3 linked regions of the Coturnix japonica genome follow. The protein of the gene in region 1 binds, or shares a complex with, the protein of each later gene. Links are inferred from orthologs where the notes say so. Each region holds a gene or a part of one and is shown on either strand. Other genes may lie near its edges. The genes, in order: AKAP17A, PPP1R8 and C17H9orf78.

What was found.
Region 2: AKAP17A (region 1) and PPP1R8 share a complex: the UniProt entries of both Homo sapiens proteins name them as parts of the spliceosome. The link is inferred for Coturnix japonica from reciprocal best matches to the Homo sapiens genes AKAP17A and PPP1R8.
Region 3: AKAP17A (region 1) and C17H9orf78 share a complex: the UniProt entries of both Homo sapiens proteins name them as parts of the spliceosome. The link is inferred for Coturnix japonica from reciprocal best matches to the Homo sapiens genes AKAP17A and C9orf78.

Annotation. Positions count from the first base shown.
Region 1 is NC_029516.1:116,233,972-116,243,132, forward strand, and holds the end of AKAP17A (A-kinase anchor protein 17A), read right to left. Parts: intron 7,741-9,161; coding exon 7,592-7,740; intron 6,743-7,591; coding exon 6,502-6,742; intron 5,677-6,501; coding exon 4,768-5,676; 3' UTR 3,815-4,767; downstream 1-3,814. UniProt on the Homo sapiens protein: Splice factor regulating alternative splice site selection for certain mRNA precursors. Mediates regulation of pre-mRNA splicing in a PKA-dependent manner.
Region 2 is NC_029538.1:1,336,879-1,347,643, reverse strand, and holds the start of PPP1R8 (nuclear inhibitor of protein phosphatase 1), read right to left. Parts: upstream 7,268-10,765; 5' UTR 7,206-7,267; coding exon 7,141-7,205; intron 3,751-7,140; coding exon 3,690-3,750; intron 2,585-3,689; exon of another isoform or gene 2,419-2,584; intron 1,305-2,418; coding exon 1,151-1,304; intron 580-1,150; coding exon 359-579; intron 1-358. Other genes in the region: STX12 (syntaxin-12), read right to left, coding at 8,391-8,483, 8,994-9,076, 9,237-9,309, 9,797-9,902, 10,225-10,296. UniProt on the Homo sapiens protein: Inhibitor subunit of the major nuclear protein phosphatase-1 (PP-1). It has RNA-binding activity but does not cleave RNA and may target PP-1 to RNA-associated substrates. May also be involved in pre-mRNA splicing.
Region 3 is NC_029532.1:4,313,063-4,323,985, reverse strand, and holds C17H9orf78 (telomere length and silencing protein 1 homolog), read left to right. Parts: upstream 1-3,766; 5' UTR 3,767-3,823; coding exon 3,824-3,903; intron 3,904-4,085; coding exon 4,086-4,145; intron 4,146-5,315; coding exon 5,316-5,367; intron 5,368-5,560; coding exon 5,561-5,631; intron 5,632-5,812; coding exon 5,813-5,890; intron 5,891-6,310; coding exon 6,311-6,508; intron 6,509-6,987; coding exon 6,988-7,124; intron 7,125-7,879; coding exon 7,880-7,978; intron 7,979-8,342; coding exon 8,343-8,434; 3' UTR 8,435-8,844; downstream 8,845-10,923. Other genes in the region: USP20 (ubiquitin carboxyl-terminal hydrolase 20), read right to left, coding at 319-388, 573-669, 1,240-1,353, 1,496-1,558, 2,057-2,110, 2,451-2,531; torsin-1A-like, read left to right, coding at 8,975-9,251, 9,433-9,698, 10,185-10,360, 10,453-10,580. UniProt on the Homo sapiens protein: Plays a role in pre-mRNA splicing by promoting usage of the upstream 3'-splice site at alternative NAGNAG splice sites; these are sites featuring alternative acceptor motifs separated by only a few nucleotides. May also modulate exon inclusion events.

The sequences.
Region 1 (9,161 bases):
CAAAACACCATTTTTGTATAGCATTTAAATATTAATGAATAAAGCAGATTCCAAGTGAAATTAATATGCCTGCTGCTGAGAAATGAAGCTGAAAGCATTTTCATGCTTGCAATTTCCTTTATGAGCAGTAAGGACAGATCTCAGGGACATTACCACACCAACATGCTTCCGTAACACCAGTATGGAAACAACTGTTCTCACTAACATTATTAAGCCTCTGAATGTACTGAGCTTATTAGCAGGTGTCTGTTGGCCTGGAAGTTCATTAAGATAATAGCTGGTGCTTTTTTGTCTTGGCTAACAAGCCAGGACAGCATCACACTTTTTTCTTTAGCTGGCAACAGATTATGTACAACAGAAAAATACTGGTACAGTTCCTTTTGATACCAGTAAAATAATACACATGGGAACATGAGATAGCAATGGGATAGCTTCAGCATACGCCATACTGAAGGAAGAACTGCAACTGGTTTGCAGCTTTATACAAACTCTAGCTCAGTAAATTTATTGTGATGCTGCGAGAGAGATTCTGCAAGTAACATGTTCATTAGGCTGGAGAAGGACCACATCAATATAATACAACATAAGCTTAATGAAATGGCTGTTGCATCCAGCTTATAACCAAACCTCAAAGGCAGCATACCAGACACAGGCAATACATATATTTTAATGGTAATTAAAAAAAGATTTAACCTGCATAACAATACAAGATAACAGCTGTTGATTTTCCTTACCCATTTATAAATTAAGGCACAGACCAAACTAGGTAATTTAATTGCTGCCGTACCTAATACCTGTACCCCTGTTATTAAACATGAGCACCTTCAAGTCTCTTACGTGATCCTGAATGCGTTCAAAACTGCCCTAGAGCTGACATCTGCTGTGATGTCCAGACTGCACTGATCAGTCATCAACTTCACAATCCTGTTCGCTATCTTAGAAGCCACTGTTAAAATTAACATTTACTCTTAACAGTTTTCAAGATGTTATTTTTACATGGCATATGAAGTTTTTTATTAGTACAACCTAATCACTCATATCCCTTTATTTTATGTCACTGAATAGAGATGTAACAAGAGACTGAAGGGCTTAGACGGTTCCTGTGTGTAGGAAATAATTCCTGTTGAATAAGCTGCTCTTCCAGTCACGTTTCTGATAAAAATGCTGATATAAATCTCTATTCCTGGTCACTTCACAAGGGAAATAAATTAACCAATAAGGGCACTAACAAATGGAATAATACATAAATAACTTTGATGCAATGCAACAAATGTAACGCATATCTCATGGCAAGTCAACGCAAAGAGTACGAGTCAGATAACCACTAGTACATAATTCTTTGCAGAAATTCTCACAGTTGGATTTCTAGCAGCTAAATGCCTGAGAGTAAAGTTAGCAGAGTAGCCTTAAGCATTAGTCAGTATCTGTCCAATATTCAACTATATCAACTTCAGTACTTCAGAAGTACTTTGAGTGTCTTTGATAATCATTAGTTGCTAACTCTTAGTAAATGTTAAGGAAGGCAAAGACAAACTAATTTTATCAGCTCCTCAAAGTCAGTCTTGCAAACATGTGCAGTCAGATGAGCTTTAAGAAACCAGCATCACAATATTCTTCCAGAAGAGGATAAAATATCAGTGATTGTAATATTTAAGCTTCTAGAAGCCATTATAAAGCCTGCCAGTATTCCAGATTCTTTTGTTTGAAACATAAAGATGTCTAGAATACACTTGGTAGAGATAATAATGACATACAATCAATAGAGAACAAGCGATTACTATCAAAAATAATGTTCTTCGTGTTATCGCATCACCGAGGTTTTTGAAGTATTACAAGCACATACCCCAGCCATAAGAAAAAGATTTTAATGAATGGTGTTGGGCAGAGTAGAGCATAATTTATAGCTGTGATCGTATCAAAAGATTACAGTCTCGACAAGTTTCTTTGCAGTTCAAAGACATCATCAATGCTGAATTTGGGAACCAACAACAAAAACATGGTGGCACCCACTACAGTTCCACAGTACATCCACACTTATCACATTGCCTTGAGCTGTAGAAAAATATCCAAGCAGGTTTTAAACTGACCAGCTTGTGGGTGCTGTTGGTTACTAGCAGTATGAAAGCATTTAGCTATAGGCATCACTATCAAGCCCACATACAGTGAAACAGACTAGAACATGCCGAGTCCTGGGTTACCAACAGAAAGAACAGATTGAGTAGACATAGAAGTTGGTCTATAAAGAAGTACCACTGTACCATGTCACTCATTCAGCTGACAAAAAATTTTCTTGCAGTCCCAGGTACTATAGGATGGCATTATTTTTGTTTTTGTCCTGGAGTTCATGTCACTGTGCATCTCAATACGTAACTGAGTAACAACAACCAAGCACCACTGAACTGCTCATGGCTATGAATGATGCTAACGCCACCCCAGCCAGACCCACATTACAATGAAATAGGATGCAATATTCATTTCAGTGGATTCTGCACCGAAAAGACTTTGGAGAGCTTTGAAGCAAAACATGCAACTGAAACAATATCACAAAGTGTTAGAACTAGATGAAATCCTCACTGAGCATTTATTGGGCAACTTTAAGCACCAGTTTAAAGAGGCTGAGATTGGGCCAAGCTGGCTGGCTGAAAGAAGGCTACCTTCATATTCCTGCGTGACATTTCAGAAGGTAAGGATTTACAAGTAGCTACAAAGTACTTTTAGGCTTTCAATAAACTGAGTACCTTATGTTACTGTACTTTTTGAATGTTGTATGAAGACTGTGCTCACTATGGTGTGTCAGGCTAAACAATGGCCTAACACATGAACTATCCTTCCTCTTCCCTCCCTCAGCCCCTGCTTATGTTCTCTGACCTCAGACACTGCACGGGATGTCAGGGGAACTTACATAATTTAATCACTTCAGGATGGGATATCAAGCCTGTTCTTGGTGCCTTCTTTAGAGTGAAAAATGCCAAACCACCTATCCAGCACGGCCTTCTTTTCTATCAATAAAAAGTATTTCTTGGATTTTCCTAATACGAGCACTTCTTGATGACTGCCACTGCCTCAATTGCTTTCATATTTGGCAATAACAGTGCATTAACAGTCTGAAGACCTCCTGAAGGTAGCACTACAACTAGCATTTCCCCAATTACATATATTAATTGTCAAGACCCTGACATAAATCCCAGTGGAAATCCACAGGATATATTGTGGAAATACTAAGCTAGTAAGAACCCTAAACCCTGAGCTCAGAGACATTGGTACTGACAGCCTTAGGTCAGCTTCTTACAGGACTACAGATGGAACCACAGTTGTTTTTTTCTCCTTACCTCAAATATGTTATCATGGATAGCATGTCAGTTATTTGATAGCAGGCTAAAGAGAATCACAGAAATCTACAAACAGGCGTTCCATTAAAACTTGCAATGAACATTATACTGGGTTTCAGCCAAACTATTACAAATCGTAAGTTTATCTTCAGGTAGACTTCTAACACTTCAGCAAAGACTGTAGAAAATTAACTCATCAACAAAAGCAGCCGCTCTGAATTCAGGAGACTGGTGGCATTGAGATGACTTAGATAAATCAATCTGTGGATTCAAGGAGAGAAACAAAGAGGCACTCCCCACATCAGTGTGGGGAAAACTGCACCCGAAGAGCAAACATCCTGCTGAGTTAACAGTGGATGCAGCTGTACATCACAGGACTTGCAAGTCAAGCAGCTAAGCCTCATTATTCATTTTTTTTTGGAACAAAATGATTTTCATACAACAATTCTGCAGATATTAACATACTGACACATGAAAACAGCAACTTCAGTTCACTGGAAACAGTTTTCTCTTTAATTTTACCATAAAAAGGCAAAATAAACTCTTTCACTGTAATGTTATAGCTTTTAATATTCCTGAGCTCCATTTTAGAAGCAAATGTATTCTTAAATGCATTTAACAAGAGATGCTGCAGCCTTACTTTCCAACACCACAAGTAAAAATAATTTAGCAAGAAGGCCCCTTTTTCAAAAGACAATGGCTAGCTCTGTACGTACCTGAAAATATACTTCAAGTGGCTCTAAACCACCCAAAGTAATTAGAAGCCAAGTATGTCAACAAGGCAACAGAACAACTTTTCAACCTTTTTACCACTGATTCTTACTTCCTACACCAGTGTGCCTTGCTTACGTGGAAAGTATTACTACACAAAGGGCATTACATACCAGAATAATTTGGTCAACAAAGCCTGGCACGATACAGATGTATGAAGGAATCACAGCAGTTTAAAAGATTGCCTGCATATCTTTATAGTGAGTTTTAAGAATCAAATTGTTACCAGTCTCAATCAGCAAAATTTCTACTTTGTTAAACATGATTTCATTAAGTACACAAAGCATTTTAGATTAATCTGTGTGGCAAAGCATGTCACGACTGGATGTCCTGTAACTGGCACATATGTACTTCTCAAACCAAGAAAAAGTAAATCAGCTGAAATTACAATTTAGAAAACCAAAAACTGAGGAAGCAGGTTGGCTTTTAGCACAGTAGGATTTCAAATACAAGCAGTACACCTACACTGTGGTAGAATGCTAGAAACAGACAACAAAGCACAACAGAACTTCAAAAAAATAATAAAATTCAGGCATCTACTTTAAGGACTGGATGCATTGGTTGAATCAAAAGTGTTTTCTTAAAGCAGTCACTCGAGTGAGGTCTCATTTACAACTTTCTGGCCCTTGTGTCCAACCACAGCATTTTCAAACAGTCAGGGCCTTCACTACCCACTCCAAGTACTCCTTTGCTTACTCAGTGATCTCCTCCGATACCTTTGTTTTCTGCTTGAGCTTCTGCGACTATGACTCTTTTCTCTTCTGTCTCGTTTACGTTCACTACTGCGAGTTCTTCTATAATGTGAACGTCTGGGGCTTACACTTCTTCGACGAGGACTATGACTTCGTCGAGGACTGTAACTTCTGCTAGAGTGTCTATAATACCTCCTTTCCCTCCTCCTTCTTTCATCCTGGTAACTCACATCTCTTCTGTGCCTGCTTCTGTCTCGTTTACCCTTACTCTCATCAGTGTTTATGCTGCTACATGAACGGCTCTTTCTTCTCCTTGGCTCTGTGCTATGTTTGCCTTGCTCACAGCGCGAGTCCTTCCTGCAGGTATTCTGCTGCTGGTTATTGGTAGGAACACATGACAGTACACCTGAACTTCTTTTCTCTGAACACCTCTCTGAGTCTGTGGTAGGAAATTTCTGACCTTCTTTGACATCAACTCTGTCATGAATATTGCCATTCAAATATTTGCATTGAGCATTTACATTCTCAGGGGATGGTAGTTCTCTTTGAGAGTCTGACGCCAGTTTGCCTGTAACAGCCTGTCCTGAGGTAGAAGTGATGCAGCTGGATGACACAGTGTGTGGAACATCACTAGCAGTTTTCACAGTGCCAGACTGAGATGCTTCCGTTTCTTCTTTGCTTTGATGAACTGCATCCATTTTCTTGCTAAGAAGATTATTCAGTAGTTTCTCCCTCAGTTCTTTTTCTTTTCTTTGCAACCCCAGTGCTCTTTCTTTTTCTTCTTCCACACGTCTGAGCTCAGCCTCCTGAAGCTTTCGCTTCTCCTCAAGTTCCTGAAGACGGATTTTTTCTTCATTTTGTTCTTGTTCCAAAAGCTTCACTGTCTGAAAGACAATCAAAGGTAAAGGAAGAGTAAAGAAAATATTTATAGATCTGTTCGTGCTTCCTTGACATTTTAAACAGAAAATAAAACTCCTATTTTATCATTCTGCTTCACCGCCACAAAGCCTGCAAGAAATATTCCTCTTTTCTCCTAGCATACAATTGACCATTTAGCCCTGTATGAGCTCTAATTCAAAAACACTACTGAGATAGACCAGCACCAAAGAACAGAAGTGTGCTTTGACACACCGCTTTTCACTGCTGCAAAATAAAGTGCATTCAAGTGTATTACATAAAACCTAAACAAAACTTTATCCAAATCTTAATCAAATGCTAGTGAAAAAATAAAACCTTCACCCTTACAGACAGAATCTAACATTCAAAACTTTAATCTACAGTACTTTTTCTAAAGATAAATCATTCAACATGCCTTTTAAACATCAAATAATGAAACCCCTTTCTCTGAAACTGGAAATAGCAGAACTGCAGAAGGAAAGAATGGAAAGAGTACCACAACTCAAATGAGAAATAAGGAGTCTTGTATCTTTGCCTCTATTTAATTAACTTTATCATGCTTACATTCTTTTATTGGCCTTGAGAGCAGGACTGCCAATTAGTCTTGGAAGGACTACAGATTCAAGTTAGCTTTTTCATTTATTATACGTACATGTTTTACCAAAGGAGAAACAAGGTTCACTGCACTTATTGCATTTTTGAACTAAACAACAGGTTTGGTACCACTCCATAAGGAGCAGCAGTCCCCACCCCCACCTATGTCAGTTGTTCTGCTGGGTTTCTCATCAGCTTCTGTAATAAATGATAGCTACCTTTGCCCTGCTTAGCAGTTCTGCAATTAGCCTGATGGACTGAAGATTTCTCTGAGCCAACAGGAGCTTCCTTTCTTCTAACTTTATCTTCTCTTGAAGTTTCTTCTGTTCTTCAGCTTGAAGTTTCTCAAGCTGCTTTTTGTTTCGTCGAAATTCACGATCTTTCTGCTTCTGTTCTCTCTTGCGTAATTTTTCTTCTCTCTTTCTCTCTCTCTCATATTCTTCAAGTTCTCTCTGCTTCCTAAAACGAGATTAGATTTTTATTTTGTCTAGGGCAGGTGCAATTTTAGACTCTGGCTGTATATAAAATATAATAAATAAATTATATATATATATATTTTGTACTTTGTACACATTTGTTGATTACTGAAAAACTGAAATAAAGAACAGTGCATTTTTCAGCCCTTCAGTATTTAAAAATATGCTGGTATTCAATCATAAAATATGGTTACAAGAAACTATTATGCAGTTTTAGTATGTTGAACCAAACATAAGTCTATGTGACAATCTAAATACCCTTACTGAGTAAATTAACAGCTCTGCTTTAATAAGATGGTTTACATCACACTTGTAGAAACTGTTAACTATCTAAAAGTTAAGCAGTGAGAAATGATACCTATCAAAACAAATGGACATCATGAAATCTGGGGGAAAAAATGCTGCATTAACATTTATATTCTGAATAGCTGCCGCATGACATCTGGATTTACATCCATTTTCTTAAAATATGCTTTTATCTCATTCTTTCCTAGAAAAATACCAATGCTAAGAGTAAACAAACTTTGCAATATCTGTTACTTACCAGTAAAAGAAACATGTAAGTTTCATGACCTTAGAATTACATACATGCAGAAAAACAGCAGTTCAAACTATGCTTCTTCATCTCCAGGTCCCATGATCCCTGAACCTTACTACCTAGAAAGGACTGCAATATTCTCATTCAGTTTTAAGAGCTTTGCCTCAGCTGCAGGAGTAAGTAAACTCCTAAGTATGTAGCTGTCTTCTATTGATGCAAACAGGAATGAGTAATTGCAGTTTAGCCATATTTTACTATTAAGAATATAACTAAGAGCCATAAGCAATAACTAACCTTTCTTCCTCTCTTTGCTTTTCCTCAGCTTCCTTCTCCCGGCGTTTTTGTTCTTCTCTCTGCTTTTCAAGCTCTTGAAGCTTCTGCCTTTCAAGCTGACGCTTCTTAATTGATGCATCACTGAGGTGTTTTGTTGAGTCAAAAGAAACCTTTACAGAATACAATTTAAAACAGATGAAACAGATGTAAGTAAACAGTGAGGAAAAAACACCCAAAAGAAACCACCAACAGCCAACTTCTGACTCAGAACAAATGTATGTAAAAGACACTGTAAGTACAGCCAGAAACAAAGTGTTTTTCAAAACTAATGAGAACCATAAGAAGATGGCAGGGAAATGTTTCTTAACATCACTTCCTAGGTGTCAGAACAACTGGGTTTTGACAGCCAGCTGTAAACTGGTTTAGGCCCTGGCTGTCCAATGCTTTCCAGAATAGGAAATTCAAATTTCAACTCGTGTGCCACAGCTCTGGGTAGAAATAGGCCTTAATAAAGGCTTCTCTTTCTGAGCAACACTGCAATCCTTAAATTCTTCAGGAGAAAATAAACAGTCCTAAAACATTTAGTATCTGGTTTAAGCAAGTGCCTGCTCATCTATCCTAGCCCAAAGATTCCCAAATCGAGATATACTAGGCTGTTGCTTAAAGCTACAGATTTAACACTGGAAACACAACAGAATGATGCTGCATACATCTGAATGGAGTGACCTGGGGAAACACAAATCTTCCAGGATGCATGGACACAGTTGGCCATGTCCAGCTGCACCCAAGAGCACACATCACATTCCAGGTGCCCTCTAGTACCGTGTGAAATACCACAACCTTGTCTACTGGGCAGCACCTCTTCCCACAGCAGAGCATTTGGAAACATGATCCTCAAGGATGCTTCCAACTCAAACCACTGTGTGATTTTATAACTCTGTAATACAACCCACGTGCAGGCAGGGATCTGTAACACAAGCCACTGTACTTTGGAAGACACGAACCATGGAGCACAGAACAAGGCATACATACTGTGCAGTTTAATTTGTTCAGACAACATAAAAGTAATGCTTCAATAAAAGCCCTGTAGAAACAGAGTTGGGCAGTCTGGTGACCTTGCATGAAAGCGATCTGTCTTGACAGCACAGACACAGCCTTCTCTCTTGCTATCAATCCCAGGGCAGCTGCTAGGAAGGCATGCGTTCTCTTGCACAGAGAAACTAAATTTGGGAACCTCAATCCACTGCATGCAAGTGACAGTTTGAATTTCACATCCCCTTGAGAATAGGAGGGCATACGAACAGCAATGTCTGTGCTTCAGCTGACCAACTTTAATAACAAGATAATAAGTGTCTAACTTACAACTTAATCAATTAATATTTGAATGCTCCCAAATTACATAAATACTTCAGCTTTTTCCCGAAATCTACTTGCTGACTTGATGAATGAAAATTAAGCGTGCTGAAATAAATAAGCAATTCAACCATTATGTAAATACACAGACAAGTCCCCAAATATATCACAACAAGCTTTCCTTAAGCCATACTTGCACAGATATAACATCTGGAGAGACCGACTTGTTCCACATCAT
Region 2 (10,765 bases), on another chromosome or scaffold:
CGTAATACCATGCAAACTGCTTTGCCACTTTCCACCAGCTCTCCACTTACTGTTATCTGGCAATGGGGAACAGCATGGGAAATCACCAGTGATATAGTTGGCAAGAGACAACTCTTTGGAAGGTCTGCAGTCCCACTGTGAAAAGACTACTTGAATAGTGGGATTATTAGAGTACTGATTCTGGGATACCCTATCATGGCAGAATTAGATGATCTGTATGTACATTTCTGCCAGCAGAAGACACCTCAGACCATCTTCATGAACAAGAAATGAAGAACCTGAACCAAGCAAACAAGTAGAAAACACCACCTGTTGCAGATGGGTAAACCACCTAAGAACAGTGGACCATCATACTCACGTCGAGCTCTGTCTCCTCTTCTGGCAGGCCCAGCAAACCCTTGAGCTCTTCATCTTCACCACCCATTTTCTCATCTCCTTTAACTGCTGATGGCAGTGTCTGAGGCTTCTCTCGCAGAGTATAGGCCCGCGTAGAAGCACCGAATGAAACTGTGGAATCAATGGGTATCTGCTGGGGTTTGTGAGCTTCCAGACGGATATGACCCAAGAATGTGCCGTGTGCTGAGAAGAACATCACAATGGAAAACAATGTTAAGTCATCTGCTTGAGCTCACAGCGCTCAAACCTTGAGAAGTTCAAAACCTGTACGTGGTTTCCAGAGATACAAACCAATGAAGCACTGCTGAAAACATCAGCTGTGTGTATTTTACCTACCATCACACAAACTAAGACAGACTGCAGAAGATCCTGTACGCCCCAAGGTACCCTGTCTGGAATCATTCTCTTGGTGGAAAACACAGTATTTCAGCTTTCAGATCTTAAAAACCACCCCCAGAATAGAAAGTTTCATCACAATTGCTGAAGGTCAAGTGATTTTCTTTCACTCTCTTCGTCTCTTAAGAGTCTAGAAATGCCGCTTTAAACATGAGGGGAAGCAGAAGTAAGCTGCCTGGAACATGCACCTACTTGCTCTTAACCACTGCCAATCTTTCACTAAGATGCTATTTTAGATTATGACCATCTGGCCACACAGTGCAAACAAGAACAAAATAGAAAAGGAAAGCATATCTCATTCAAAAACGTTGAAGCACTGAAACAGTAACACTGTTGGATTAAATGCTCTGCTACTTACTGCTGTTTAGATCTATGAGGAAAACCCTCTTGAGATGTTTGTGATAGACCAAGGCAGCATGGACCCGAGAGCAAGACTGGTGGTCAATGGTAAAATCGCACAGATCAGGATTTCTCCCAAAGAGATAGTATTTCTTCTCATCAATGATGAGTTTCTGAGGTAGAATAACAAACAGAAGAGGATATTAGACACCTAGAATCTTTTGGAGCTTCCTGTAAAAATTCAAGAATGTGAATAAACAAAGTAAATGCATAACAAAGCATCATAAACTGACTGATATGTCAGCAGTGTTTGACACCATTTAACACAGAAATTTCCATTTTTCCATTCAGAACAGCTGAATGTGGGAGATGCCCAGTTACTCCTGTCTCTAACATCTCACTTGATGCATCAAGAACCACTGTTTAATCAGAAATTCGCCTTCAAGCAGAGCATCTGTTGACAAACAAGGTCCATGTGTAAATAAAATGAGAACAGTTATATTCTTCCTGTTGGAACACCTGATGCATGCAGGTCTCTCCTTTGAACTTACTTGTGCCTGGTGAAGAACTGCATACATTGAAGACTCACTATAATTCAAACTAGAACAATACACTGATAGACTGAAAGAGTCTCCCAGATTCTTGTATCATCTGGGTACTTCATTATCACTGTCTCTTTGCAAATACTGGTTTTCACAAGACCACCCCTTTTCCTCTGCAATCCCTAATCAACACTTAGCATTCCAATGTTCTCCCTTGCCACATTTATTGCCCCTTAATATTATAGTTGTTTCACCCAGCTACTGAACTGCGAATAGCATTTGTTATAAGGCACCTTTTGAGAAAGGTGAGCTGGGCTTTGTGGGGATCCAACTTCACACCAGCAGCTCTATGACAAGCAGTACACAGTATTGCCCCCATTCAGTACAGCACTGAGTGCTCTTCCCAAATTCAATACCTCCGTACCCATGAAATCTGTGGTTTCAGTTTGTGAGACAGGTGAGCCTTAAATTCTATTTATGCATATTCAAACAAGTTACCTAAAGAAAACTGGCATACAAATAAATGGATCTTTAAAAGCTTGTTTCTTACTCCATATTTCAGCATTTAGCTGTTTTATGACTTCAAGGACCACAAAAATCGATCTCATTCTTGTCCAAAATCTACTCCAAAACAAAGGTCCAATAGGTTTTCATTCACACTCATTAAATGGCGTTTCAAGAGGTTTTGTGAAGATTGTGAAGATTGAAAGTCTTGCCTTTACTTCACTGTAATGTCTCTAAGATTTTCTGTGCCTCTGAGCTATAACCCAGTGTCATCCTTTACACACTGAGCTTAAACACTGCAGGGCTTGTTTTCATGTTGCACTTTTCAGACCCAGCAATCACAAAGTATTCCTCAGACCTCTGGAAGAGACCTGGGATACAGATGGCTCGGTTAGTATCAAGTGCTCAAGGAGCCACTGCAGCAAGCAGGACCTCCAGGCTACACATCCTTACCATCCATCCTTGGAATCTGACAGGACCAGGATGATATTTCTACATGACAGTTTAACAATACTGATTTTGTTTGTGTATTGTCTAAAGCCATGGTGCATTCTCAGCTTCTGCAGTGCACTCTCCTGCCTGCAGTCTGGATCAGATCTCCCTTGATAGCCACTGTGGATTAATTTAGCAGCGAGCTCCATATAGGCTCTTCCATTCTCAAAAATCCAAAAGAAATATGACAAGAAAAACCTTGTCTTGTAGAATAAGTAGAATAATTCTCCCAGGTGGGAGGGCTGCAGTGAGGCCACCTGCCAGAGACCCAGAAAAACGACAAAGGCACTGCCAGCTGGCTTTGCTCACCATCTCTTTACATGGCCTGAAAGAAATACTGGAAAGCCTGATGCCACGTACAGTCCTTACCACAGATGCTATTGATAGGATGGCAGTGGGATGGCTGAGCTGGCAAGCAGTCCTAATTCAGCTCTGACCTCTGAAACTTCTAAAGCAGTTCCTAACATGCAACAATACTGAAAAAAAGACACGGATCATGGTTTGAAGACAAAAAAAATGCAATGGGATTGAAAGCTATTGTGGGCTAGGGAGAGCCAGTGAAGGATAGATGCACTGAAGGATAGTCCAAGTAGCTGGTAGAGCCAACTCACCTACACATTACATGATGCAATGAAGTACAGTGAAGATGTGATTACACATGTTGGTACCTAGTTCCTTTCAAATTAAGGCTGAGCAAAGATCTCACACAGGTCAATGCTGGCACTGCCAGCTACCTGTGCTTTCAAATGTGGACTAACTAAGAGCAATCTCTTAGAACAATCTATAAAATCAACAAGTTATGGACTGTCCCCATAAAGCCTCATTTTACTGGCTTCTGGCCTGGGAAAATATAAGCTTATTAGTAAATTCTCTGTTTATTTTTCCTTTGCAAAGCATATTCTGGTATCTTAATCAATTTATAAAATACTTCTGAGTAGGTGTGGAAAGTGCCATGTGATTTTCTACCACCGGTGTCTTTATCTGTGATACACTCAGCACACACACAATCTGCTCTCATACCTCAATGAGTTTGTCTCCTTTGACTACATCCAAATGTAAGCCAGGTGGAGGTTTTCCTGCCCTGGAAAACAAAGAAAATTAAGTCTAGTATGAAAGTATTTAGTGAGAAGTTCATTAATAGCAGAGCTAATACTCTATTAGATCTACAGATCGATGCAACACAAATGTAAGTAAATTTATTTGGGGAAAACAAAGATTAAACAGCCAAAAATTGTCCTTTTGCTCCACGCAGGTTCCTTCTGCCTACACATAAACCACAGATGTTTACAATGAGTTGAGCTAACAGAACGCAGGGCATTTCAAGCTTCATTGCTCCAACCATAAGACAGCGACTTCACAAACCAAATAGAGCAGCTCCCAACAGGAAGCCCACAAGGAGAGAAGGGGACAGACTGGACCTGTCAGTGTAAGGGCCTCCCCAGGGCTCTGTTGTCACATTACCTTAAGAACAGCCAGTCTCTGAGCTGTTGAGAGGAACAGGATCTTCTACCATCCTCCCCCCCCTCCCCTAGAACTGATGATGGTCAAAAACATCTGAAGGGTTCCAAGCTGAGTAATACAAAAACACTGGCTACCAACACAGATAGCATGGAAGAAATGACAGCATTCAATGGGAAGGGGACCTTATCCTATGAAGCAGCTTCATTCCTTTGGGAAAACCCTTCAAATCAGCACGTTCTTAATTGCCCTCCACAGCAGGTCCCCACGAGCTCTATTTTCTGGATGACTTCTGAGAACCGTGGCTGCTTTAACTGAACAAAGCATTCCATTTGGATTAAAGCAATTGTAGAACTTCACCTTAATACTGTTTGTTGCCTTGTTACAATGCACAGTTCCACACAGACTGCACTGCTTCACTCAGGTTCCCTTGGTTACCTGCTTAGGAATAAGGTCTCCATACTGCGTACAGAACTGCATATAGAGCCTCTGAAAGAAGGGCCATAAATACCCCATTAGAGAGAACTAAAGGTCCTATGGCATCTGCTCCTCAATTCAATTCATTCCCTCAAAATACAGCCCAGCAGTTGGACATGGAGAAATCCAGGCCTTCCCATAGCAATTCCAATTGAAAACTGCTTAGTAATGATTAGCAATGATGTATTTCAGAGGGACATCATCAAACTAAAGCAACATCCGAACTGGGTTTTGATAGAACAGCAGGGTTATGGATGCAGAAACCATCTGAAATGGAAAGCCTCACTGAAGCAAACCCTATCCAGCCCATAGAGAAATCCGGAGCTTTAGCTGCTCAGGACACAGACAGGCCAAATCCAGTCCCACTGTGTTCGTTTAAAATCAGGTCAATTATTTAGGTTTTTAATTGTGGGCTCAGAAGACTAATTAAGCCACTTCCTAACATCTCAGTGTAGGTGACTGCTATGCACATCCTCATGCTGAACTTCAAGGACAAGGCACAATTTCCAGAGCTCTAGAGCTCACCAGAGACCTGTGTAAAATCACTGTCAGGATATGTAACCCATACCAGCATGAGAACTAAACCAAAGCCCGGACTTTAAGCCATTGAAACCCTTGAACTTCTTTTCTACTACAATATTATCCATGTTAAGGAAGAACAGATACAGCAACAGAGCTCAAAAGCATGAGCAACAGTTTAAAGACAAGAAAAAAACCTACAATACTGGGCAGTTATGGTTAAGATATATTTCTTATATAGGTGTTTGTAGCCCTTACAGCAGCTCCATGTGGAGACAGAAATGAAACCAACAGGTAAGTAAAGACTGTGGCTTTGGTTCCAATACAAGTTAATGAGATTGGAAGGCACTCCCTGCAGAAGAAGCTGCTACTCACCATGAAGACTCCCCAAAACATGATGGATTCTGAACACCCACAGCTTTCCCTGCTAAGATCCTCCCGGCTGTCCAAACCAAAGTTTGGGTTATAAACACACTGAGATTCTCTGGAATTCAGAGCCTCAGACTGGTCCAGCTCTGTCACTGTGAGCCAGTTCCACTCTACAGAACCACTCTACAGAACTCATCACTTAGTGAATATCCGGACTATATTTTACACTAGTAAACTCTGGTTTACTTGTGAAGTACTTCAGGAAGTTATAGTAAAAGATCATTCAGATAAAAGGGGAAAGAAAGCAAAAAAGATTGGAATTGTTAGGCAGAAACAGGGCCCCACTCTCCCGAGGTGACCTCTTACTGCTGGGTGTGAAAACCCCGGCTTGGAGCGGATCCCAATGCAATGGATTGTGCTTCAAACCTGGGTCAGGTCAGCAGCAGCACGGTGCAGAAAGCTGCCTGGCTGTGAGCCCCTGCCCTGCCTGCAGCAGAGCCAGAAAGCAAGAGAGATGAAAAGGCCATTCACAGGCACAGCCCTCCTCTCCATACGCTATTTCTTTAGGAACTGTTCTGCAACAGCATTCAAGCAACTGAAACTGAGCACTGAGTAAGCCATACATCTCCCAGCTGTTCCATCTACAGCTTTCAGTGGCAGAAGTCATTCACATTTATCACCAAATGTAAGTCAAGTTGTTCCACGCTGCAGGTGCCCCATCCCTGGAGGTTCTTGGGGCCATAGATGGACATGGGGCAGCCCTGCCATGGCAGAGGGCTCGGAACTGGATGATCTGGGTAGTCCCTTCCAACCCAACCATGCTGTGGTTCTGTTTGCTGCTTTGATCTAAATCATATTGCTGTTCTGCACGTCACCATCTTGTCTCACAGAAATGCTTGATACTGCCTATACCCAGCTCAGACACTACTTGGATTTAAGGTTTAGATGGGTTTACAAACGAAAACTGAAAAGCACGTTGGCCATGCACATTGAGTACTCATTGAGTCCTGCCACCCAGCACTAACAGCCCGGACCTGCAGCCGGATGACTGTGCAATTAGAGCGGAGTGCTCTCACCATCCATCGCCTTTCAGCTCGGCTGTGCCATGATCCGCTGCTCCCATCCATCCCGAGCAGGGCCCGGCGGGGCAGCGGGGGAGGCCGCACTCCAGCCCAGCTGCGGACACGGCGCTGTGCAGAACACCGGCTGAGCCAACCCCAAGTCCCATCCCCTCCATCACATCACATCATCCCATCACATCCCATCACACCATATCGCTCCGGCTCCCCGCTCTACCTCCATCCCCACACAGCCGCGCCCGCCGCCCCAGCGCTACTCGGTCGAGGCGCAGCACCGCCACATCTCGGCCTCACACAGCACCACTCCGGCCCGAGCCGCCCCCATTGGGCCCCGCAGCGCCGAGCCGGGCTCCCTCCGGCCCACACCCCCGACCCAACGCTGCCCCGCTCCCCTCGGCCCGCTCAGGCTCGGCCAGGCTCCATCCCCCCGGCCGTGAGGCGCCGCAGCCCCGCGCTTCGTCCCGCCCCAGCGCCACTCCCCCGGCTCGGCCCGACCCGGCCGGGCAGCCGCTCTCGTCCCTCTGCGAGCCCCGCAGCAGCGCAGAGCCGTGCGGCCGCGGCCCGCTCACCAGCTGGGACACTCGAAGAGCGAGAGGCCGCCTCCTCCTCCGGCCGAGTTCGCGTTGGCCGCCATCTTGCATCTGCCCCATTCAGGCGGGGGGCGGTCCCGGCGTGCTCCGCGCCGAGAGGGGCGGGAACGAGCTTCTCCACAGAGCGGGGCTTAGAGGAACCTGATTCTATCGCTGTTTAATCTTGCAAAATAAAGAAGCTCCGACAAAGGCCTTTAAAAGTGTTTATTGATAGTTATTAGATGGAATGATGGCGTAAGTAGTGCAAACCAATGTGCAATTTATTGGGAGAACACCCCTCCCCCTTCCCAGCTTTCACATGTATTTTATTACGCAGGAGACGTGGAATAAAGGGTTAGATACAAAATGGGTCAGTATGATGCATTTACCACACGATACCGGACAGACTGCTGATCCCTCAGTGCGTGTCAGTTCAGGGCTACAAAGTGGGGAGCTCAGCTTTGTGTTTTAGTGCTTTGAGAACCAAAAATGGAAGAGATTTATTCATCCAATGATAAACCATCAGCTCATTTCTTCAATGACATTGCACTGCTAGATTGGGTGTCCTTAGACTTACAGGACTTACAGTACTCAACCGGTGCATTAAAATAAACCAAAACAACCCCAACCATGCACAAAAATTAATAAAAGCAATGAGTCTCAAGGCTAAAGTGACCGGTTCCTGAGCACACTTGTTCCATCTATCACCCATGCATACTTCTTGCTTTTCAGATCTGCAGTGGCATCTTTTCAATCAAATTTAGAACCACAGCCACCCAGAGACTAATAAAACCATGGGGCAGATACCAGAGACTTGAGAAACTGCTGGATTAAGGTAATGAAAGTTAGTGTTGTGCCCTCTTTGAATGTCGTTCTTATTCCAGTCCAACAAAGTTATCTGTACATATAAAAAGTTCAATGTCTGCCACTTGTCAAGTGAAACAAGACATCTCCAATTATCGATCACACTTCAGCATACAGTCGGGACAGGGAATAATACATTACAGAAAGCAAAACCACGAGATGTTAGTTACATAAAACAATATAATTTGTATATAAACTGATAAATACTGTCTCCATGGTTCACTAATTCCAAATACTAGTTGTCTGCACATTAGTTGCTAATAACTATTACTAGAAGTAGTTCCAGCTTGTGCTCTCTCAGGGTGGTTTCATTTCCAAAACTAGTCTGCCTTTTCGTGCTGGGGGAAAATATTCTCAGCAATGAGACAAGAATCCATGTGAAGATTTCACCCTCTTGCCCACCAGATAATTAATCCTACGAGTATAGAAGCCACAGCAAGACCAAGAATCAGGATGCAGATCTTCTTACGGGATTTCTTCTAAAGAAAGAAGAAGAAAAAGCCACTGATACCATGAGCAGATGAGGAAGAAAAAGCAAGTTTGGCAGCTTGTGTTGCTAAGTATGGTGAACCAGAGCACTCAATACCTGTCATTATTCAAGGGAAGTACCAAGTACGCAATTTCACAAGGTCTTTAAACAGCATATGCCACAACTGAAGGTTTAGTTTTAGGTCTAAGAAATCCAATTAAGTCAAAGCTAGCAGAATTTGTTACATTTTAAGGCAAATTCAAGGCTTTACTTCAAGATAACTACAAATAGGGAAGCCGACACCACCTAATATACATTTCATGCAAAGGTCTGCCACCAAGGCTGCAAAGGAAAGCTAAACCTCTCCAACTATCTGGATTTTCCAGGTAAAACAAATGAAAACAATCCCTCCTGTAGTTTGATGCAGAGATAGTACTGCATTTCTACAGCTTAAATGATGTAGCATACAGTTACTGTACTTGATTGTACATTTACAATAATACAAGCATACATAATTTACCTGATAATAGGCAGCTCTCTGTAACTGCTCACTGGCTCTTTCCACATGAACTTCTGCACTTTCCACATTTGCCTCTATGCTATCTGTGGAAAAAAACAGAGAACTTGTAAAACAATTCAGACTTCTGGTGCTTAAAATAAAATAAATACAACATTTTTTGTACAAAATATCAGAAAAATTGAACTACACAGAAAGAAAGTGCAGCTGAACTAGAAAAGAAGCTCCTTATCCAAACACACTTACCAATCATATCTCCTTGGTCATGAATCATCATGGCTAAATCCTTAAATATCTGATTGACATCCAAAATGTCGGCCTGAAGACAAGTTTGACAAGTTATACAAAACACTGGTTACAGTTCTTTTGCAGCCTAATTCTTAGTGCCTCTTCAGAACACACCACTAGAAATAACTGAATAGATGCCATCACTCACTGACTCAGGTGACTTGATGTTGCTATTGATGGAACTTGGGATTAACATAAGAGCTTGCAATATTCCCACTGCTCATTATTTTTTCCATGCCACTAGCAACTAACAGAGCAGGGAATTGAGATGAACACTGTCACGAGTTACTCCTACCATCTCTGAAGGACCACCAGTGAACACTGAAGGAAAATATACCTAGTCTCCTTAAACTGGAGCAGGGAGATTTATCTTGGAATCAATCCTCTCTACAAGGAACTGTTCCTTCACCTTCAGGTCTCCTCAGCCCATCCCATTAGATAGCACTGCATGAATTCTTTGGTTTCTACCCTAATATTGTTAACTATATGTTAACATAAGCGCAGGATCTACTCTTCACCTCTAATTGCCTGATTGCCGTTTCTCTTTCTTTAATAAGTTCAAGATCCTGTTCAGTTATCGCCACATCTTCTTCTTGAGACTGCATTTGGTTCCAGTCTTCACCACTGTGAAGGGAAGGAAGGATAGTAAAACACTGTTTCTTTCAGCACAGGCATATTTTCTCACTATAATTACACTGAATCACCAGCATGTTAAAGCTGAAAAGATTCCTACAGAACACCAGTCTTGCAACTACAGGCTTATGGCAACAATTACAAATGAGAACAATAATGGGGACAGACCAAGAGAAGTGAGGAAACTGAAAAGCAGTACATGCATAGGATAGTTTGTGCTAGGATGTGACCATTACCTATAGCATTATAGAACAGACCTCATTTCAGGTTGGTTTTTTTTTTTTTTAAGTTTGTTTTTTAAGAATATCTGTACCTTCCTTTCCTCTCACCATCCCCCACAAAAAGGGGGGAATCAACCAGGGTGAAAGTCTTGATGGAGAGCAGCCTGCAAGCACAACATTATCAGATCAAAAGAACACCTGACAAGCATCCTGGCTCTAAGATTCTCACTTGCTATCTGCCATTTGGGGATACGAAGAAAGGGTTTAGTATGTTAATTCATTAATTTAGCAAGAACTACAAATTAAAGTCACACATCAAGAGAGATGTTTAGAAAAATCTCTGCACACCTACCCTGATGACAGTACTTCATAACTGCCACGTAAGTTACACACACTGATTACAGTGAAGGCAGTACCAATAGTACAAAGTCATCTATGTGTCCAGCACAAAAGAGTTCTTCTAGGGTAATATCTCCCTCTTCTTCTCGGAGGCAAACGTATCTGAAAGCACTGTAATATACCCAACAGGCACGTTGTGACATAACTCTACGTAGTAAGTTCCAAAGGCTCCAAGTGCAAAAAGAAATGACAATAAACTACTTGACTAGATGGGATACAGCAGAGACATTCAGG
Region 3 (10,923 bases), on another chromosome or scaffold:
GTGTGAGTTGTTAGAACGATACCACTGTGGAAAACAGAAAGATTGCATGTTTTCTCACATGGCAAACATGCTTCTGTCATGGTGGAGTTTTACTTCCAGCATTCATCTAGAGACAAGTCTCACACACAGCCACAGAGTTGGCTATTCACCCATTTTCCTACTGCAGAACTTCTGTTTTCCTAAATACTACATTGTTCATATTCCTTTTTCTGCAGCTAGCCTGGCTGGTTTATCCTTGCACGACTAAGGAAGGTGTCAGATCAGAGGTGCTACTGCTGATACGTAGTAAAAGACTCTACTAAAGGCCCTAATGCCTACCAGTTAGAGAGAGCCTGAAGTGCTGCATTCATGTAGCAGGAGTTCCCAAGATTTTTCATTCCAGTAAGGCCTAAAGCACAAACAAGAGAAGCATGAAACACTTTCCAGAAGTGCTGCTTTCTACATTCGTTCCCAATGGGAAGATAATGTGACCCTTTCTGGGCTCTGCACTCTGCTGCTAGGACCCTCTCAGTGCAGGTCCTACAGATTGCAGAGTCACCCTCACAGCTCTTCCATCAACTACATGCAGTTACCTCTTGGTTTCAAGTCATCGTCCTCTGATTCGGATTCACCTTCATCAGCCACTGCAATTGGAACAGCTTTCAGAGGGTGAGCAGGCAATGGAGAATCCTAGATTAAAGACAGAAAATAACCATCAGCAAGAGTCCTCCTTCAAAAGACGAGCTGCGAGAAGTATCTTAGGTGTAAACTCAGCCAGCCTTTAAAATGGCACACTCAGAAGAACCAGTTGTACTGCCTACCCTTCTCAGTAATGCATATAGAGAATGGAAATGGCACCACTACTGCTTCCAGTGTTAATAATGGAAGAGGCACTGGGAACATGCAGTGTCACAAGTAGACACGTTTGAAGTCTGACAGCTGATTTTTTATTTGAAATGAAGATATCACAGCTGTTGTGGCTCCTACCAGAACCAGATGGCCCATATAAGAAGCCAGGAGAGGTTAAAGAAAAACATCAAAATGGATATTCGAGTCGTTGGAAGCCTTCCTGCATGGAGAGTCTATAAAGCAAAGCTATTGGTCCTCTGACCACAGGCAGCCACCTTCAGTTGGAAGAGTTCCTACCACAATAGCAGCCTGAGCAACTTCTTAGCTAATTTTGCAACAAGGAAATAAAAAGCCTGCCAAGCATTGAGCCCTGCCAGGCTGACACACACCCACTGCTTCACTCAACTTTACCGAGGGTGACTGCGTGTGCGCCGCCAGCCGCTGGTCCAGGAACACCTCCTTCTCACAGGCATAACACCAGACCCGAAACGTGGTCAGATTCACTGTCAGGTTGTGCTTTTTGGCCTAGAAATAAAAAGGTGAAGTAATGATTTGAATGGTGGGACAACTTGAAGTGCAGAACGACTAAATTCAGGCATAAGAGGATTAGGTAACAGGAATAACTCAGCTCTCTCTGTCTTTAGATGGACCATAATGAAAAGCTTACCTGTGCATGAAGGGTGCTATGGTCAGAAAAGGACTCCCCGCAGCCAACATAAGGACACCCGATCTAGTGAGAGAAAGCAAAACTACAATGGCACACCAAATGAAACCCTTCACAAAACAGTCTGCAGCCCCAACCCCACCTACAGCTGCAGCTTCAGAACTGATCTTGCCACTCAACTGTTTTTCTTTGCAGGGCTTAGAATAAGGCAGATGACTGGAATTGGTTAATTTAACAGAGAAAACCTGAAATCAGTTTGCACCCACGTAAGTCCTCATTCCAAGACAACTGCTCCAACAGGTTCATCTGACCAGACTAAATGTCCAGGCACTCCAATGTCAAATCAAACTGCCCCTGCCCACCCACACACCCTCTGTCACTCCATTCTGCCCCAAACACCATCTTCAGAGCTCTCACTCTTGCAGCTTCCCCTTGCAGCGGATATTTCTATTGTGTTCACCCATATTTGCATCCATCCCTTCTTGTTTGGTCCAATACAGTTCTTTGTATACACTGAACAGAAATCCCACCGTGTCATGCACACGAACATCAAGCTGTTCTTACCTGAAGACAAGCCCAGAGGTTTGGTCCCACAGCTCCACATGACTGGCAAGTTCCCTGTGTATTCACAATGATAAAAAAATAAGCTTTGTTTGCATGTCTGTCTTTTAAGTAACCCCATCCTTCAGCAGTGAGAAACTTCTCAATGCGACAGGCCTCCCCCGCCTGCAGCTCAATGCACTGCTTAAATCCATGCTTCCAATGCCACGCTTTGCAGTGTGTGTTAGATAAGTGGCGTGTTTGAGCAGGATAAAACGTCAGTGCGAAATGCACCAGATGGGACTGACAAAGGCTTATTGATGGGCCACGTGCAAGGTACAACAAGGGTGGAAAAAAGAGTTTCTGCCTCTTCTGTACAGCAAATAGAGAAGGGGTTGGTAACCAGAACACCCCGTACCTTGGATTTGAGCAGCAGATCATCTCTGGTCACCTCTCCTATGGAATCCAGGTGAGGGCAGATGTCTCTCGTATCCCCCATTGTCACTGCAGGAAGGTGATTTCCTAGGACAAGAAAAGGCAGTTCTGTTTGGTTACAGTCAGCAGCCCACCATACTGGTGTCTATGGGCATTAAAACCATGACTGCTGTTTAAATGAAGCTCCACAAGAGGGAACTGGGCTTAGAAGACCTTTAACTGATAACCCACCTTCAGTGTTTCAGGAACTGCTCATTCAATAGGTGGATTTTGAACAACTCTCAATGAATGCATGGAGCTGTTCTGCGCCGCTCACACAGCCCAGCACTGAAAGCACAGAGGATTTCACAGCTGTGTGCTTACAAACCCCACAGATAGTCTTATAACAGGGTCTGTGCAGCCATCCTGGACTGAAGGAACAAAGCAGACCTGGAAGAAGGGATCACATCCCTGCACTGCAAACACAGCAGTGACTGCAGGCAGCACCTGGGATGAGCTGCTTAACAGCACTGAGAAAGCTCAGGAGCTGCACAGAGAAGGGAAAGGCTGCCACGTAACAGGGATTTAGAAGACAAGCAATAAGAGCACAGTGACTGACGCATAAAAGTGGGACACTTTCAGGCTCTGTGAGTGCATCAGAATAGAGTCTTTTTCTCCAAACACATCAGCACAACCAGCTCTAAATCCCACCTATCAGTGCCACGTCTGCTCTTCCATCTCTCTCCATTTCCTCACCCAGAAAAATCAAATAAACCCTTGTTTTTAAACGAAATCGGGGACCTCTTCAGCTCCCCCCACCTGAGCCTGTATTAGATCCCACGGCATTAGATCACACAGCCCCGTTCCCAGCCCAACACCGCGATGCTGCCGGTCCCTCCCGGCCTTTTCCTTTGCGAAATAAACCGAAAAACGTCACTTTCAGCTCCCAGCAACAACGGGGCTCATTCAAGAATCGTTCAGCTCATTCCTCACCGCCTGCAGCCCGCGGGGCTCCCAAGCATCGCTCATCAAACCCGGCGTTACACAACGAATCCCCCGTTACTCGGTGGGGCCTACGGGCAGCACGGAGCCGGACAAGCCGTGACCAGCGTTTTTACCGGGGATAACCCACCCCAGGCTGAACGTTCCCCCCCGTCCCATTCTCACCTGCTGGGCCCGACCCTGCGGTGTGTAGGGCTGGATGGGAGGCGGTGCTGGGGCCCAACGGAGCCGCAGGCACCGGGTAGAACCGGGGCGGGGCGGGGCGGCCCACAGCGCCCGGTGCGGCCTGCCAGGCTGCGGTACGGCGTCGGAACGGAGAATAGACGTCATCATATGGCGTCGTAAGAAGAGAGAGAGGAGGGAGGGGGGTGAAAAATGGCTGCCAGGGCGTTCAGACGGCGGAGGGAGGAGAGCGAGGAGGATGAGGAGGATGAGCAGCTGGCTGAGGAGGTCAGGTGAGCGCAGGGGATGGGGGCTGTGTGCCTCCCTCAGCTGAGGGAAACGCAGGAGCCATGTGGTTCAGGTATTGATGTGCAAAACCAGCGTAGATTTGGTGTTTAACTGCAGGAATTAAAGTGAATTAAAGCAAATAGAGGCACTGAGTACTGAGGGCAGCGGTTTGGGTTTCTTTCTGCAGGTTAAAGCTCGAGGAAGCCAAAGAAGTGCAGAGCCTGAGGAAGAGACCCAATGGGGTGAGGTAAGGGCTGTGAAGGTTCTATCTGGTATTGTCATGTAATAGCACCCATCTGCTTTATGGAGAAGTAGCTCCATGTTCTCCCTGTGCCAAAGGGAGTAGAGGAGTTTGTGTCTAAGCCTGAAGATGGTGTGAATGGTGAGTTTGTCCAGGTGTGGAGCCCTCAGTACAAGAAAGACATGGAGATTTTGGAAAGGGTCCAGAGGAGGGACAGGAAGATGATCAGGGGGCTGGAGCACCTCCCCTATGAGGACAGGCTGAGGGAGTTGGGTTTGTTCAGCCTGGAGAAGAGAAGGTTGCGGGGTGACCTCATTGCAGCCTTTCAGTACCTGAAGGGAACTTACTCCCAGGAGGGGAGTAAACTCTTGGAAAGGGCTGACAATAGCAGGACAAGGGGAAATGGTTTTAAGTTAAAAGAGGGAAGATTTAGGTTGGATGTTAGGGGGAAGTTCTTTACTAGGAGAGTGGTTCGGCCCTGGAACAGGCTGCCCAGGGAGGTTGTGGATGCCCCGTCCTTGGAGGTGTTCAAGACCAGGTTGGACGGGGCCCTGGGCAACCTGATCTAGTAAAGGTGTATGTTTGGTGGCCCTGCCAGGCAGGGGGGTTGGAACTACATGATCCTTGAGGTCCCTTCCAACCCGGGTCATTCTGTGATTCTGTGAGTGCAGGAAAACATTGGTGTGAATGGTGAGTCAGGTGCAGGAAAGCACTGCCAGCCTGCAGAGTCTGTGCTGTATCCTAACTATGGAAAAATAGACTAAGATTGGAATTGGTCATGGGATGTATTTAGTTAGATTGCTTCTGTTCGGTTCACGTAGCAGAGCAGTAGGTTTATCGGGGGCCCTTTTATATCTTCTCTCTGATTTCCTTCTCTTTCATATAGCATCACTGATCAGCTGATGCAGTAGTTGAAATGGGCGCCAACAACCAGCTTTGTTCCTTTGCTGATTCACTGTAAAGCACTAAAATCTCTCTGCCTGAACTTCTCATCTTCCCAAGACGTTGATAGTTCGTCTACCCATAGGGAAGGACAAGGAAAAATGGCAGCTTAGTATTAATACAAGTGTTTGAGACCTGCTGCTTGATCTAGGGAAGGATAAAGAAAGACAGCATTGTTGGTAACACGTTTCCTTCTATTTCCTTCCTTTTGTCTCTTTCTTTATGGCTAACCAGTGCTGTAGCTCTGCTTGTGGGAGAGAAGTTGCAAGAAGAAGCGACACTTGTGGTAAGTGCTTGATACTTTTGTCACTTTATTGCTAAGATGTAATGATGTGTAAACGTTGGTGTGATCCAATTGATGGCTGTAGGATTCTGCTTCTCGCAGCCTAATGCTTTTTGTCCGTTTTTATCCAGATTTGGAAGACTAGCCTTAAACTAAAGGGAAGCTTCAGGGTTTTGTATTTTATCTTGCATTACAGGATGACCCATTTAAGATAAAATCTGGGGGGATGGTGGACATGAAGAAACTGAAAGAACGAGGCAAGGACAGGTGGGTGCTTATGAGCTCTGAAGGTCTTTCCCTGGACTAGAAGTCCCAGCTAGCAATAAATTAACCAAAAATTGTACTGCTTTGAAGAATGTAATATATTGCACTTCCACTGGCTGCTGCTACCTTAGCTTGTCAAATTAGTTCAACAAAAAACAACTGCAACGGTGTGGTTTTCATTTAGGATTAATGAAGAGGAAGATCTGAACTTGGGAACTTCCTTCTCAGCTGAAACCAACAGACGGGATGAGGATGCTGACATGTGAGTTGAGCTGCGTGTTGTCTGTGATGCTGAACTCTGGGCTGGGTGTCCTCTCAGTTTATCTGTATTATTTTGGATACTGAATGTCTCAGAACAACTTCTTGATTCTCACCTGCTTTTTCACCTTCTGGCTGCTAGACTTGAGAAGGCATTTTCATGCACAGAGTTGGGAGATGCCAGTCAACCAGCCAGTACAATGGTATTAAATTCCAGCAGCAGCCTTCCTTGATGGGTTATGGAAGAGCTTGGGAGACCTTGATCAGAGCTGCAGATATCTTGTTTTATGTTCTTGATGTTAGCTGACTGCTTTTGGATTCATTTCTCTCTCTCAGCCTTTGGGAGAGCAGTGCAGCTGTGTTCAGCAATTAGGTACAGAAAACAGAACTAAATACCACATCTCCCTCGTGGATCGTTCTTTAGGATGAAATACATTGAGACAGAGCTGAAGAAGAGAAAAGGAATTGTGGAGAATGAAGAACAGAAGGTGAAGCTGAAGAACGCTGAGGACTCTCTGTATGAGCTGCCGGAGAACATCCGTGTCTCCTCTGCCAAGAAGACTGAGGAGATGCTGTCCAACCAGATGCTGAGTGGCATCCCTGAAGTGGACCTGGGAATTGAGTACGTTGTTCACAGATCTGTTAGTTAAGGCCTGAATTACAGGGATGAGCATCGTGATTGGAAGCTGCTGATCAGCAGAGCACTGGTGTGGCTGCATTCTACAACCCCCCTTCTGGCTCTGTGATGGGATTAAGTCTTCGTCTGGATTAGTGGGGTGTTTAGCACTGCATGTTAAATTAAACACAGCAGTAGGTTTCCAGCGCAGTATGATAACGTGACCTCTGGGAAGAGGCACTTCCATTTTTGTTACTGCAGTCAGCAGCTCTCTGGAGTTTATCAGTGTATGTTGTGCACTGAAATAGGATGTGTGCTTCACTTTTACCTTGTAAACAAACCATCTAAGCATCGGATTTCTATAGCACTGCAGCCTCTTAACCAAAATTAGACCAAATACAATACGAGCACTGTTAATGCATGCAAATCCATTTGTTTTGAACGACTTGTTACTTACCTGCTACTGTTCTTTGTTTTTCTTCCAGTGCAAAAATAAAGAACATAATCTCAACTGAAGAGGCCAAGGCCAAACTGCTGGCAGAGCAACAGAACAAGAAGAAAGACAGCGAAACTTCCTTTGTTCCCACAAACATGGCTGTTAACTATGTCCAGCACAACAGATGTAAGTCTCATGTGGTTGTCCTGACCCCAGTATGACCCACCCCTCTGCTAGAGAAAAGCAGTCAGTTGAGATGGAGTTTGTGCAGGAGAAATTAGTCCATGTATCAACACAAGCAGCTGTCTGGTTTCTTTCTCTGGGATGTGCATTTAGGCCCCATCTGGTTTGCCTGTTCTTTTGGTTTTTTTCCCCCAATCCATCAGCATAGAAAAGGACTTATTACTTTTGACCCAACTTTCTGCTCTTGAACTCCCAGTTGACAGTTCCTCATAAATTTCAAGCTTTCTTTTTCTTTAAGTTATGCCTTGAACGTGTGTTGGAAGTATCTGCCTCGTCTGTGGTTATAAATGATGGGTTATAATTGAGAGAATCCATTTTGCAGGCTGCCAAAGCAGACAGGTGGTCAAGCAAACATAGATCTTAGTAGACAGGAGATAGGAATTAATTTCCGGGAGAGCCTCCCATACCACAACCATCTGGAGGAAAGGCAGCCTGTTACCATGTCTGACCGCACCTACAGGGGTGATCTGGTGTCAGGTTTGTGTGTTCTGAAGGAAATTAAGCATTTTTGGGTGACTTCTGATGAAATAGTGCCTCTGAAACATGGTGTATCCTATCCATAGAAAGCAATTACTGGAACACTTGTCGTGAGGTTCTGTGGTTTCTCCTGAAGATCAGTCATAGTAAGTGCCATAGAAGAACATCTGTGTGAAGAATGCAACTCTGAAATACTCTACCTGATGTTTTCCTTCCTTCAGTTTATCACGAGGAGCTCAACGCGCCGGTGAGAAGGAATAAAGAAGAGCCAAAGCCCCGTCCACTGAGAGTGGGGGATACAGAAAGGCCAGAACCTGAGCGTAAGTTCCTGATCTGAAGTGTCTTAAGGGAAGGTACTGGAATGTGTTGGGGTCTCATACAGAGATGTAGCTCTTTTGTTGTGCAAGGTCCCATAGGAAACCAGCTGGATGCAGGATTGTTTAGTGATACCTCTAGATGGAGCAGCAAAGGTCACCACCAGAATGCATTAACCAAGCTGATTGATAGGGGTGTGCTGAAAGCTGGGATGGCAAGGGAAGCGAGGTTAGGGAGCACTGAAGGACAGCCTTTCATAGAGCAAGGGACGGCAGTTGTGTGGCTTTACAGGAGTTCATAAGGTTCAAGTTTAGGTAATGTCATCAGGGAAAGGACTGGAAATGTGCTGATCCTCTGTTCCTTCTCAAGGTTCTCCTCCAAATCGCAAACGTCCACCCAATGAAAAAGCAACTGATGATTATCACTATGAGAAGTTCAAGAAGATGAACCGGCGCTACTGATAAACGTGGGCTGAGGGCTCTGCAGAGCTGCTTGTTCTCCCCATCTCTCATGGTGGATCTTGTGTCAGTGCCCAGGAATGGAGGAGCTTTCCTTGTGCTCTTGTCGATCTGTTTGTGAACTCTGGCTGGTAAAATCTTGTATATAACTTTTATTTTCCATCATAAAGCTTATTTTATCATAACGTCAGCTTTCACGGCGAGACTTTTTGTAGTGGGAAGATGAAATTGACTTTACAGATCCTCTGTATGGAGGAAAAACAAGTCAAATCTCCTTTAAAAGCAGGAGGAGCCCTTCAGGAGTGGGAAGGGGCAGAGATCAGTGTTAGCAGGGAGGAGGTTGGAGGGGGGTGATGTGAAGGAGCCTGAAAGCAAGAGATGGGGCTTAATAAAAGTCTTTTAAGGCACTGTAATGGATGTGTTCTTAATGGAGTTGTGGACAGCCCACATCACTCGTTTGATCCCTTTTTCGACTGGATGTCTATCACCCTATGGCTCCGCCCAACATGGCCGCGCCCAGCCCCGCCTCTGCCCAGCTTCAAGATGGCGGCGGCGGAAGTTATACATCAGGCCGGAAGCGGCGGACCGGAAGCGGCCGTGCCGGCCATGAAGGTGCAGCAGGGATGGCGGCGGGCTGTGCCGGGGCTTGTGCTGCTGCTGCTCCTCGCGCCGCCATCACGGGCCGTGGAGCCCATCAGCCTGGGGCTGGCCATCGCCGGGGCCGCCGCATCGGCCCTTACCGGCATCATCTCCTACCCCAGGCTCTACTGCTACTTCAGGGAGTGCTGCCTCCAGCGCCATGAGCTGCGCGTCGCCAACGGTGCGGGCTGGGATGGGATGGGGGCTGGGATGGGGCTGAGATGGGGCTGGGATGGGGGCTGAGATGGGGGTTGAGATGGGGGATGAGATGGAGCTGAGATGGGGGCTGGGATGGGGGATGAGATGGGGTTGAGATGGCGCTGATGTTCTGCTCGCTGTTAACGGTCCCATGTGCTCTACAGCCCTACAGGAGAGCCTGGACAGAAGGCTGTTCGGGCAGCACCTGGTCAGCAAGGTGGTGGTCAGGGCCGTGCGGGGCTTCCTCAGCAACAGCCAGGCCAAGAAGCCGCTGGCTCTGTCCCTGCACGGCTGGACGGGCACAGGGAAGAACTTTGTCAGCAAGATCATCGCTGAGAGCATCTATAAGAGGGGGCTGAAGAGTAACTATGTGCATCAGTTTGTGGCTACGCTGCATTTCCCTCACGCTCACAGCATCAACCTCTACAAGGTAAAGGTGGCAGGAGGGCAGCGGTGCTGCTGGGTGGGCTGCAAAGGGGCAGAGATGACCTCAAAGATCTTAAGTGAGAGGATCTCATGATACAGCACAGCATTGCTTTGCGTGCCTTGTTTTAAGCGTTGTCTTCATATAATTTCTGGATGGCTCAAACTAATGGCTGAGGACTGAATTCTGCTTCTGCCTGTTCCAATGGCTACAGGTGGGATCTCAGTGAGTCCAACAGAGCAGTTGTGATGCTGGGGGGTGCTTGGACCAAAGTGCTGCCTAAAGCACTCAGTGCTCCACAAGGCTCTGCTCTGTGTTGCTGTTCCTCCTGGTGCTCATCCTTTGTCCTGATGTGTCCTTTCCTTTTCAATGTGGTTTCAGGAATATCTTTCTCTTGGGAGTTCAGGCCCATCTCATCCTGTCTCTGGGTGTCCTGTTTTCTGCCTTTTCAATGCAAACCCTTTCAGCTGCACCTGTTTTTATGCCACCCAGGACCAATTGCAATCATGGATTCGAGGAAACGTGAGCATCTGTCCCAGGTCAATTTTCATATTTGATGAAATGGACAAAATGCACGCAGGACTCATTGATGCCATCAAACCATTTCTGGACTATTATGAGCTTCTGGATGGGGTGTCGTACAGACAAGCCATCTTCATATTCCTCAGGTAAGGAGCACCTCATTGGGTTTGCTGTCCTGTGCACACAGCGCCTTTTAAAACTACCTTCAGTTACAACCCTTGTTTTCCTCTTTTCTTAGCAACGCGGGAGCTGAAAAGATAACAGAGGTGGCACTTGATTTCTGGAGGAATGGGAAGGCGAGGGAAGATATTCAGCTCACGGACATGCAGAACGCGCTGTCTGTGTCTGTCTTCAATAACAGAAATAGTGAGTAGAGCTGAAATTGAGCTTTGACACAGTCAGAGTCCCATATAAATGATAGTCAGCCATCAGTGCACACAGTGTATTTCATGGAAGAGGTTTCTGCTTTATGTGGTCTCCAGTTTTTGGGCTCTGGAGCCACCGTGCAATGTGTGGCCAATGGGAGAGTTCTTGTGATGCCTTAGAGCTGAGGACACCTGTGTGCAGCTTGTTTGATGGCTGTGGGTTACGTTTGGATTAGGGGAGTTCTGTGCTGTGTGTTTACTGATGTACTAATATGGTAAAGAGAAAGCAAATAAAAGAAATGAGGCTGGGTGCAAGATCTGGGGGAAAAAGGAGCTGGACAAGC